3 linked regions of the Canis lupus familiaris genome follow. The protein of the gene in region 2 interacts with the protein of the main gene of each other region in a biochemical or structural test. Links are inferred from orthologs where the notes say so. Each region holds a gene or a part of one and is shown on either strand. Other genes may lie near its edges. The genes, in order: PTGES3, CASP7 and PANX1.

Evidence for each region.
Region 1: of the proteins of CASP7 (region 2) and PTGES3, one has a biochemical effect on the other in vitro, tested with the Homo sapiens proteins (2 studies listed by BioGRID and IntAct). The link is inferred for Canis lupus familiaris from reciprocal best matches to the Homo sapiens genes CASP7 and PTGES3.
Region 3: of the proteins of CASP7 (region 2) and PANX1, one has a biochemical effect on the other in vitro, tested with the Homo sapiens proteins (2 studies listed by IntAct). The link is inferred for Canis lupus familiaris from reciprocal best matches to the Homo sapiens genes CASP7 and PANX1.

The regions. Positions count from the first base shown.
Region 1 is NC_049231.1:1,253,832-1,258,005, forward strand, and holds the start of PTGES3 (prostaglandin E synthase 3), read right to left. Parts: upstream 2,912-4,174; 5' UTR 2,897-2,911; coding exon 2,838-2,896; intron 1-2,837. UniProt on the Homo sapiens protein: Cytosolic prostaglandin synthase that catalyzes the oxidoreduction of prostaglandin endoperoxide H2 (PGH2) to prostaglandin E2 (PGE2).
Region 2 is NC_049249.1:24,923,614-24,927,246, reverse strand, and holds the end of CASP7 (caspase-7), read right to left. Parts: intron 2,101-3,633; coding exon 1,877-2,100; 3' UTR 520-1,876; downstream 1-519. UniProt on the Homo sapiens protein: Thiol protease involved in different programmed cell death processes, such as apoptosis, pyroptosis or granzyme-mediated programmed cell death, by proteolytically cleaving target proteins.
Region 3 is NC_049242.1:6,792,750-6,796,937, forward strand, and holds the start of PANX1 (pannexin-1), read right to left. Parts: upstream 2,834-4,188; 5' UTR 2,768-2,833; coding exon 2,587-2,767; intron 1-2,586. UniProt on the Homo sapiens protein: Ion channel involved in a variety of physiological functions such as blood pressure regulation, apoptotic cell clearance and oogenesis.

The sequences.
Region 1 (4,174 bases), on a different chromosome or scaffold from region 2:
CAACCCTCACTATCAAGCACTTCATGTAGCCAAGCCTAGCAGATAAAATGCATTTAGAGCTTGAGCTTGAATGTTATTCAATAAACAAATATTTATTAAATATGGGGTTAGGAATCGTTCTGGAGATAGAGCAGTCAACAAAACAAAACTTACATTCAAGTTAAATGTAGTCCAAAAATATTAAGAAATATTGGGGAAGGGGGGTAAAGGGATCAGGTCCATTACTAACTACAGTTTATCTTAATGTGTACATAGGTAACACATCACAACACTCAAACAAAACAAAACAAAAACTTTCTCTGGTTATTCGTACAGCTGAGCTTTGAATATGAGAGTTAAGGGCACCAACCCCTTAACAAAGATGAAAATCCAAGCATAATTTAGGACTCCCCTAAAACTTTACTAATAACCTACTGTTGACCAGACTCTTTATCCAAATGTAAACAATAAACACATACTTTGTATATCATATGTTATACACTGTATATTCTTCCAATGAAACTAGAGGAAAAAGGGCAGCCCAAGAGACGCAGCTAAAGCAGCTGTTTAGCATCGCCTGCAGCCCCAGGGCGTGATCCTGGAGTCCTGGGATCGAGTCCCATGTCGGGTCGGGTTCCCTGCATGGAGCCTGGTTCTCCCTCTGCCTGTGTCTCTGCCTCTCTCTCTCTCTCTGTGCCTCTATGAATAAATAAAATCTTGAAAAGAAAGGAAAGAAAGGAAAGAAAGGAAGAAAGAAACTAGAGAAAAAAAAAACAATGTTGAGAAAGTCCTTAAAAAAAAAAAAATTTCACAGGGGCACCTGGGTGGCTCAGGCAGTTAAGGGAGTCAGACTCTTGTCTTGATCTTAGGTCAGGTCTTCATCTCAGAGTTGTGAGTCAAAGCCCCACCCTGGGCTCCACAATGGCTGTAGAACTTACTTAAAAAAAAAAAAAAAAAAAAAAAGGGATCCCTGGGTGGCGCAGCAATTTGGTGCCTGCCTTTGGCCCAGGGCGAGATCCTGGAGACCCGAGATCGAATCCCACATCGGGCTCCCGGTGCATGGAGCCTGCTTCTCCCTCTGCCTGTGTCTCTGCCTCTCTCTCTCTCTCTATCATAAATAAATAAAAATTTAAAAAACAAAAAAAAAGGGTGTGTGTGTGTGCGCGCGCGCGCATGCCTGGATGGCTCAGTTGGTTAAAATCTTAAAAAAGAGGGCAGCCCGGGTGGCTCAGCAGTTTAGTGCGGCTTTTAGCCCAGGTTGTGATCCTGGGGACCTGGGATCAAGTCCCAAGTCAGGCTCCCTGCATGGAGCCTGCTTCTCCCTCTGCCTGTGTCTCTGCCTCTCTCTCTCCCTGTGTCTTTCATGAATAAATAAATAAAATCTTAAAAAAAAAAATCTTAAAAAAAAAAAAATACACTAACCTTATTGTATTTATTGGAAAAGATTTGCCTAAATGGACCCACACAGTTCAAACCCGTGTTACTCAAGAATCAACTGTACTTAGTTTTTTTTTTTTTTTTTTTAATTCATGTATTCATGAGACACACAAAGAGAGGCAGAGACATAGGCAGAGGGAGAAGCAGGCTCCCCACAGGGAGCCCAATGTGGGACTCCATCCCAAGATCACAACCGGAGGTGAAGGTGGACACTCAACCACTGAGCCACCCAGGTGCCCCAATGAGTTTCCTTTCAAGTTAACTCTTAATGGAGCACCATTATTTTTCTGAATTACAGGATCACTTTGAATTCTAAGATAAAACAATAGAAATCAGAAGACTAGCTTTTTACTAAATCTTAACCTAGTATTTTCTAGGTTTAGAAGTAAACATTTCTATTTAATAGGAAGCTTCTTAAACACTAGATTCGATGATCTCTTATACATCTCAGAGTATCTTTAAACGTCATAAAAGAGGGCAGCCCTGGTGGCGCAGCGGTTTGGTGCTGCCTGCAGCCCAGGGCATGATCCTGGAGACCCTGGATCGAGTCCCACGTCGGGCTCTCTGCATGGAGCCTGCTTCTCCCTCTGCCTGTGTCTCTGCCTCTCTCTCTCTCTCTCTCTCTCTCTCTGCATCTCTATGAATAAATAAATAAAATCTTTAAAAAAAAAACATTTAAAAAAATAAACATCATAAAAGATTATAAAAGAAAAATCATTAAAACCAAGGAAAAAAATCAGCAATAAAGAGGTTATAAAATTCAGAATTACTGATTTTTTTAAAACTAAGTTTGTCAAATAGTCTATTATTTACAAAAAGGAATCAAGACACAGGTAAATCTTTTTTAGTTTGTACTAAGTGAGGAATGATATGGAAACATGAAATTCTGCTATTAGAAAGGAAAAAAGTAGTTCCTTTTTGGACTGGGCTTTTGACTGCACATAAATTGAGCAGTGAAAAGCCCTGTCCACAAATGTCTAAAAATCCAACACTCTTTTTTTTAAAGATTTTATTTATTCATGAGATACACAGAGAGAGGGAGAGAGAGGCAGAGACACAAGCAGAGGCAGAAACAGGCTCCATGCAAGGAGGCCGTGGGGACTCGAACCCGAGACTCCAGGATCTCGTCCTGGGCAGAAGGCAGGCACTAAACTGCTGAGCCACCCAGGGATCCCCAATCCAACACTCTCTTATGCACATATTCTTTCTTCAAACAAAACCCAAGATATGCTTCTCATACTTTCAGAGTATCTGTATGTCAGTTGTACTACCATGTAAAACTTTCTAGATAGGTGATCTGAATACACATGCTGACCCAGTTGCTTCCAAATTACTTGCCAAGGTGCATCAGGGCACCACAAGAAACTTACTGGGTTGCTGCAAGATATTTTAAATTTGAGAAAAATTTAGTGATACTCAACCTCAGTTCAGACACCAGGTGGTTCAGTTTTAAAGCAGACTGCACCACATCCCTCTCCATTAATCTTCATTTCTCCAAAGTTAGAATTTTGGTGTTGCTGTGATTTAGAGGAAAAAAAGGGGGGGTGGGGGGGGAGAAAGGGACCCATAAAAAAAAACAAAACAGTAGAGAACAGAAGTTGAGATAGACATATCTAATCTGAATTCAAGTTATAAGAAGTTATACAGTGCCCAAAGGGCATTCATATTCTGTAACTGTGGTTATTAAAAACAAAACAAAACAAAAAACCTTTTTCTTTCAATTTTTGTGTATTTGCTTTTCAAAGACTACTAGGTTGTTCGGATAAATTACTTAAGTTGTTTTGACCTAACTACCTAACTAACAGAACTGCTAGGTTACTTCTTTTGGCCAGCAACACCATTAAAAAAAAAAAAAAAAAAAAAAAAAGGAAACAACAAAAAACCTACTAAGACATAAAAGGGCAAACCAAGAACATTTGTGAACCTGTGTTATTAGTTCCTTTATTTGGTAATTCCTACTCTAAACGTAAAAGTGAAAGCTGTTCTTAAAGATGGTATTTCTCCCAAGACTTAGCGCCTTTCTTCCAAGCAACTCCAACCTTCCTACACTCCCACTTTTGTGCATTCTTTTAAATATCTCCAAAGCAGATATAGTAATTTTTCTTCAGACAAATAAGACTCAAAAAAAAAAAAAAGAACAAATAAGACTCAAGGTCAACGTTCTCAGTGCCTCCAGTAGAGAAAAATTTCAGAGCCTCTGGACTCCATTATCGTATGTCAAGAAGTGGCACAGGTTTTAACAGAAACAGTTTACATAATAAGACAGAACTAGAGAGACATAGTTATTTCTTTGGAAATAAAAGGATCACTGGGAAATTATTCTTCCTTTCTGTAAAGTGGAAAAAATAACCTTTCTGTCAGAAATCCTGAGTTCCAATTCTATCTAGGACAACTCCTTATACTAATTAGCACTGTGTGAACTAGTATTTATGGAACTTAAATATATACTAAAATTTTTAAGAACACCTGTCTGTGACTTAGAGCCTTCCGTACACAAAGATAATTAAAATGCTGAGCTGGAAAGGACCCTGACAAATACTTTTTTAATAATAAAGTATGACAACATGTGAAGATCAACTACTGTACAGAAAATGCACTAAAGCACATTATGGCTTTGGAATACAATAGGGGGAAGAACATACTACTGCTCAAGGTAATGTGTAAAGTAATTGGCATCTTCCTGAAAAACCAGAAGTTCAAAGGTGTCCTAGGGAAACAGAGAAGTCAGCCTCAATTTAAAATCACTGTCAATCTACAC
Region 2 (3,633 bases):
ATAACTAGAGTACTAAAATTTTTACTTCCAGTTACAATGCACTTAGGCACATTCATTTCTACAAGAGGTTCCTTTAATAGGATAGTCTGTTTTCCAAAGAACAGCTGATGAATTCTGAGAATGGTAGGGTGGATGCTTGTTGATTCATGATCTGCACTTAAATTTTGTACAATTGGATATTTTAGATGGCAGGAAACCAGAGACAGATCTAATAAACTGGCCGTAAAGTAGTTTTCTTATTGAAAGAAGATAAATGGTAGCCCATTGTGAACAGCTTTATAAGTTAATTAACCCTTTACGTGAACAATTTTAGTTTCCCAAGTGACTGACTTGCTGTTCTGTTAGTGTTCCAGCTTCAAAAGAGACATGAATTATATTTTGTGTGGAGGTCAAGTCAGTGAGGGTCAATCCTTATCCCGTTTTCCCATTTTTTCTACTGCCATAAAAAAACTTTAGAATGAAAGCAAACTGAGAAAAAAAAAAAAAAGAAAAGAAAGAAAAGAAAGCAAACTGAGCAGGTTAGGAATTAAGCAACCACTTTTTAATCAATAAATATGAACATCTGTGTGTTAACCAGTTATTAGGCCAGAATAAAATCGTAACTTATCAAGAATTCAAAAGGTAACCTTGAAAACAAAGTGGAAAAATCTTTGCCATAAACTTTTCCCACATAGAGAATTAGGGGTAACAAAAAATTTACTCAGAATAAGGCTTGGAATAATCTAAAAAATTCCAGGTAGATTTCAAAGCTAAAAAATATTATTTTGCACATAGTGGTCAATACGGAGATTATCGGACAATTCAATGAATAAATGATTGAAGGGAGGAATCGCTGAACCTCAGGGAATAGGTTGACTTATATTCACATTATGGACCATTCTGATACCCACTCCTTGCTCCTGCCTCACCTCACTTGGCTTTGCTGTGCTCTGTATTTGCAGGACATCATGCTTCCAAGGCGCTTGTCAGCTGGCTTCCAGGTAAGGTGGTGGAGGAAGAGTCGAGGGCAGGAGAGATGAAGCCACGGTATTTCTTTACATCTGACTCAACTGGTCTTGCCCCAACTCAGGCAGGGGCTTTGTCTCTGCCATGGCTCCAATTCCCACAATCCCTTGGTGGTCCCGGCTCTTACCAGGCCCCCACCATGCTGCCACTTCCGTGGGCTACCCCAGCTTCTAGACTAAGGGGACCACACCTTTTCATAGCCTTAAGTGGTAACAGATTCCTTTTATTTGGGGTTTCTTTTATCATCTTTGTGGTCAATTTCCTCTATTAAATTTCCTCTACTGAAACACCTGGAATGGTTTCTGTTTCCTGTTTGATACATATTAGAATCATTAACATTTTTTTCCCTTTATCTGGAAAGTTTTGCATGAGAATCTGTCCTAAGCCAATGAAAAATCACTCAAATCACACTCTACCCACTTTCTGCAACACTGGTGAACAGATGCTGTTTTTTTTTTTCAGCCCTGCAATGCTATTTGCCAAGTAGACCCCATCTACCGTGTCACCACCAATCATGGTGGACACAGCCAAGAGTCTGTGGAGGTTGTTTCTGTTGTATGTGCTACATGGAACAATAAGCAGATAAATACAAACAAAAAATTAGTCTTAAGAAGAAATTACAAAGCCATCAAATGGATACATTGTAAAAAAAAAAAAAAAAAAAAAGGAGAGAGAGTCTCCGAAAACATACAAACATAAGACAGCACCAGAAAGTTTCTTTCCTTTTGAATCAATAAATGTTCCTGAATTAAAAACCTTTAGAATTTCTAGGTATTTCAAAAGCATCAAAAAAAAAAAAAAAAAAAAAAGACTCATGAACAAATGATCCATGGTTTTTCAGCAAGAATGCATCCCTGAAATGGTTATCTTTTCAGAAGTAGAGTTCCTTGGTAAGCATGGAGACCACACATGGGATCTGCTTCTTCTCGTGGAAGTGGGGGTCATCCGACTGGGACTCGAAGTGCCTGGCCACCCTGTTGTTCACCCTGGTGAGGATATGCAAGATCTCCAGGCTCTTGCCGTGCTCATTCAGGGTGGAGCACAGGGCCTGCACAAACCAGGACCCACTTCCTGGGCTCCTCCATGAGTAATAGCCTTCAACAAGACAGAAAGGAGAAGATCAGATCAGCTGAGCTGGCCGCTGCCCCATGCACCACCAGGAATGGGCTCTCAGTGTATGGGGCCTTCATATCTGCTTTCCCAAAATTATCTTACTCTTCTCTTCCTGCAAGTTCCCAGTGAGAATTGCGCTGGTGTGCTCAGAGAGCAAACATCTTCAGTTTAGAAGGCTGCAAGGAGATGCTTAACACATATGTTCCTGAATGATACACATCAAATACCTAAGTGTGGATGAGACAAATGGGCACGTGGAGCTTTCCAAGGGAAATGCTGGAAAAGCACTCCGGCACTCTGGAACTCCTCACTGCCCTTTGAGGTGAGAGCTACGTTCTAATCCAAGCTTCCAAGAATTTGCAGAGATCTTAGAGAATTTTGAGATGTGTTCCTGTTGTTGGGGCACACAGAACTGGAGCCTGACTCCTTATGAAGAAATCTGGCAGTGAGAGGTGGCTGGATCACCTACTGCCTTAGGGGTAAAGCCAAGAGAGCATGCTGTTCTGAGGCCAACACCATAAGGGCAAGGGGTGTGCTTCTCATGGACCACATCTGGTCTATGCCAGAAGAAGCTTCCGCTCTGTCTGTCCAACAGGATTTCTTGGAGGGACAAGGAGACCTCAGCATAAAGAGGCTAGTCAAGTGTCCTGGAGGATTCCCAGGAGCTGAGGAAGGAATCACAATACACAGCCAGGGATGGAGATGCAAATCAAAGTCCAGGAGATGCAAGACACAGGAAACCAAGGGATTCGAGAACATGCCCAAGAAGAAAGGACCCAGCTTTAATCATCTCATTGGTACAGAGCACAAGAAGCCAGGTAACCATGCAACTTGGAGCTTCCCCTAACTCTCTTCCCATCTTTGACTCTGAAAGAGTCTAAAAAGGAACCGGCATATGGTGAAGGAGGTGAATAAGGGAAAAAATCAAGGCCCTGTTAGCACCTTAGACCTATAGCAGGGCTGATCAGAACCTGGAAGAAATTTAAGGCCGAATTGGGTTCTGGGTCTTAGTTATTATTTCAGTCTGGATATTCTGGTTACAGTGCTGTGACTGTAACCTGGAGAGAGACCATACTGTCTAATATCTTAGTGTGAGCACCACGGACCTGGTGATGGTCAAGGGAAGACTCCATCACTCCCAACCCCCAGGTGGAAAGGAACATATAAAATAAAATCAAGCTGTATTTGGCTTACATGATAAGCTGTGCTTTGTGCTCCTACTGCCAAGTGGTCTCACCAGTTTGATGAGATTCAGTCAACACCATTATAATTGATAACAATCACTTATTGAATAGATGTACAGTAAGTTTAGGAGTGACCTATGTGGGTAAAGTGACTGAGGCACACTTAGAATTCTTCCTGCAGCACTGAGCACTGGTAACCACCAGTGAGGGGATTTAAGCCCCATGTACCAGAAAGCAATTCGCTTGCAGAGGGGCTCGAATAACTCATCTCATTCTGTAAAATAACTGATGAGGTTGGTCCTGTGCTGCCAACCATTTCATTACTGCCCCT
Region 3 (4,188 bases), on a different chromosome or scaffold from region 2:
TTCTGCTTTCTGAATCCCTCTAGTATGGGGGGGTGGGGTAGATGTCAACTTTGATCACCAAGGGTAACCAACTCCCTCCTCCTGGCATCAGGTGCCCAAGACTGTTACTCCTCCATGACAGGGACTGTGCCTCATTTATTCCTGGGCCCTCGGGGCATAGCACTGGGTCCAACCCATAGCTGGTACCCAAAGAACATCTGCTGAAGGGAGAGATTATCTCTAGGACCCAAGCTGCTTGGTGGTTTTCCTTTCTACTAGAAGTCCCAACTCCTGATCATCTGGAAGGCGGAAGGAAACCCCAGGACTATGCCTGCCCAAAGACAAAAAAACTGATCACGTATTCTCCACAATGAATTTGGCAACTTCCTGCCACACTGAACAACTTAGTGCTGTAGATCACAAAATTAAGCTTACCATAACCCTCTTCTAACTAACTCCTCCTGCAACTTCACTATTCTCATCAAGAGTACCACCATTCTCAGGGTACCTGGGGGGCTCAGGCTTCTGACCATGATTTCGGCTCAGGTCATGATCTCAACATCATGAGATCGAGCCCCCGTATCAGGCTCTGCACCCAGTGGGAAGTCTGCTAGATATTCTCTCCCTCGGCCCCTCTCCACCACCTGCTCTGTGCATGTGCTCTTTCTCTCTTTCTAAATAAATAAATCTTTAAAAAACAAAAATCCCCCCCACCATTCTCCAATCATTCTGGGCTGCAGCCTTTCTATCAACTCTGGTCATATCTGCCCTTCATTGCCTATTAAAAACTAGGTACCCAGGTGCCACTTATTGCTCCTTGATCTCTTAGAATTCACCCCTTCCCATCCTTTCCCTTCAAATCTTGGCCCCCATCCATGCACAAGACGTCAACCAAGGCCCCATCTTCTGGCATCTGGCCTCCCTAGCTCCGATTCTCCTCCTTGATCCCAGACCCTACAGGATACCATCAGGCTTATTCAGTACTGTTTTCAACCAGTCCATCCTCTGCTCACACAATAACTTTGCACTTTTAAAACTACCAAGCCTGTACGCCTCTGTTCTAACGGACCTGGACCCATATTCATGCTCATAACCCAAAACTGTGACTAACACTCCTCCTCAGGGAGTATAGTCATTATCTTTCTCCTTCCAGGAACATATATAACATTCTCTGCGATCTCAGAATCTTTTTTTTTTTTTTGGTATATTTTTTATTGGAGTTTGATTTGCCAACATACAGTATAACACCCAGTGCTCATCCTGTCCAGTGCCCCCCTCAGTGCCCGTCACCCAGTAACCCCACCCCCGCCCTCCTCCCTTCCACTACCCCTTGTTCATTTCCCAGAGTTAGGAGTCTCCCATGTTTTGTCACCTTCTCTGATTTTTCCCACTCATTTTCCTTCCTTTCCCCTATAATCCCTTTCACTATTTTTAATATTCCCCCAATGAGTGAAACCATATAGTGTTTGTCCTTCTCCGATTGACTTACTTCACTCAGCATAATACCCTCCAGTTCCATCCACGTTGAAGCAAATGGTGGGTATTTGTCGTTTCTAATAGCTGAGGAATATTCCATTGTATACATAAACCACATCTTCTTTATCCAGTCATCTTTTGATGGACACCGAGGCTCTTTCCACAGTTTGGCGATTGTGGACATTGCTGCTATGAACATTGGGGTGCAGGTGTCTCAGTTTTTCACTGCATCTGTATTTTTGGGGTAAATCCCGAGTAGTGCAATTGTGATCTCAGAATCTTAACAAAGGTCTCACCTCTGCTTATGCAAATTCCACTGTGCTCCACGGCCAGAAGCCAGCACCATTTCTCACATAGGCTTTCCCCCAGGCCCAGCCCCACCGTCCTCTCTTCTCTCCCACCGCCCATCAAACTGTTTCTAGCTGCTTTCCTGCTGACTCGAAAGTATCCTTTTTCTATGCTTCAGCTCTTGAGGAAGACCAGAGAGTCTTATTAGGCAACCACAAGATCCTGCCCCAGACACTGGCACCTCAGACGCGTTATTATGAGTAAACGACAGTCCACGTGAAGGGGGCTTGTTCATCCCCCATTCATAGTAAGGCCGTTCAGATGGAGGATTCTGGGATCCCACTAATACCAGCCAAGGGCAGTCATTTCCCATCATTCACAACCAACCCCCCAGAGCTCAAGTCTCGGTATCGACCAGTGAGATAAAGAAGGGAGCGCACAGCTTTCACGGAGTCCTCTTCTTCACGCCCTCCGCTCAGCCGCTCCGGAACTTCTCTGCTCCAAAATTGTGGATAATTACGCAAATGTGGGAGAGAGAGGACGGGATGAGGAGGCCGTGGTTTCCACAAATCTGATAGCGAGGGCAGGACACGCACTCCAGGGCGCAGTCGGGATCAGCGGGGTGCAGGCAGAACGGGGGGGGGGGGGGGATGCAAGCGGGATCCGCAGGGCCACAGCCTGCACCACGTGCGCAAAGAACACTCGAGGCCATCAGCCCGGGGCTGCCTTTCTACCCCGCGTCCCCGCCACGGGGCGCGCAGTCAGACCACGTCCCGCAGACCCGGGACCGCGGCCCACGCGGCTCGCGCCGCCGCCCGGCCCCGCCCCTCCGCCCGGCCTTACCCGTCGAGATTTCCTGCGCGAAGGCCAGCGAGATGAGCAGCAGCGGCAGCCCCACGGCGATGTACGTGACCATCTTGTCCACCGCCAGCTCCAGCCGCAGCCCCTTGAACTTGGGCTCCGAGGGCTCCTTCAGCAAGAAGTCCGAGAACACGTACTCGGTGGCCAGGTGGGCGATGGCCATGGCCGCGGCGGCGCGCTCAGGCCCCGGGCCCAGGGGGCGGGGCGGGCAGGCCGGGACCCCCGCCTCGGGACCGCGGCGCCGCGCCTTCGCCGTCCCCTGCCGCCCCCGCGGATTTCGCTTTCCCTTTGCCGGCTCCCGGGCCGCTCACACATGCGCCAGCCTTTGTGCGCCGGGGCGCGCGGCTGCCTATGAGGCCCAGCGCCGCCGCCGCGCCCCCGCCCGCGCTCCGCCCCGCCCCCGCCCGCGCCCCCGCCCGCGCCCCGCCCGCGCCCCGCCCCCGCCCGCGCCCCGCCTCGCCCCCGCCCGCGCTCAGCCAGCCCCGAGCCGGCCCCGGGTGCGCTCCCGCCTCGCCCGCCCCCCGCGCCCCGCCCCGCCCCGCCCCGCCCCGCCCGCGCCCCGCTCGCCCCGCCCAGCTCTTCCGGAACCCGAGGTCTTCCGAGCTCCTCCGACAGCCGGGCGCGCGGAGCCGCGGGGGACAGGTGGCCCGCCCAGCACGGCGATCCCCGGCGGAGCAGCGGCGCCACGGAAACGCCCCGCCCCTTCGGCCTCAGCGCCCCCTCCCGCCCGCCTTGCTGGGCCGCGGTTTCCCCGCAGCTCTGCACGGTGGACTCCGCTTAAGAGGAGCTGCAGACGCTGCCAAGGGCCACGGCTGCCCCGGAGCCCAGCGGCCGGCGTGGAGGACGGGACTCTGCACCCTCCGCGCCTCGGCGACCGCGCCCGGGGGGCCGAGCCTCCAGCCTCCGCCGTCCGCGCGTGCTGCCTGTGGGCGCTGCCGACCGCCGCTGCCGACCCGCCTCCAGGAGGTGGAGCCTGAGAAGCGCGAGGAGATGCTGCGGCGGGCAGAACCCGCAGGCGGGAGGGCCCTCGGGCTGCGCTGCCGCCCCCGCCCTTCCCACCCGGGCCGCCCCCCCCGCCCCCCGGCTGCGCTCAGGTCCCTCGCGCACGTCTCCACCTGTCCTAGCCTCCGATCGCTCAGCCAGCAGTTTACACCGCCCTCCGCCCGGGTGGCTCCCAGGACTTCGGACTCCGAGGACCCAGGAACGCAGGCCTTATCTTCCTCTCCGGCTGAACTCCGGTCCTCCCCAGCTGGCGGAAAGCGCCGCCATCCACCCAAGCCAGAGCCTCCAGCGTCGTCTTTAAGCTTCCAGTTCTCCCAGCTGCCATAGTTTGGAAAGTGAATTTCCAAATTCACTTGGTCCTCGCCAAGTGAAAAGGTGATGGTTTTTCTCCACATGCACCGCCAGCACTGGGATTTAGGCCACCGTCCTTTCCCTTTCTCTTTCTCTCTGTATATTCTTTTATTGGACTTCGACTTGCCAACATATAGTAGAACACCCAGTGCTCATCCTTTCTCTTAACCGCATACAGCGGTGGATCGCATAGGCATAGGCGTATAAGCCACTTTTCTCCCACAGCGGCCA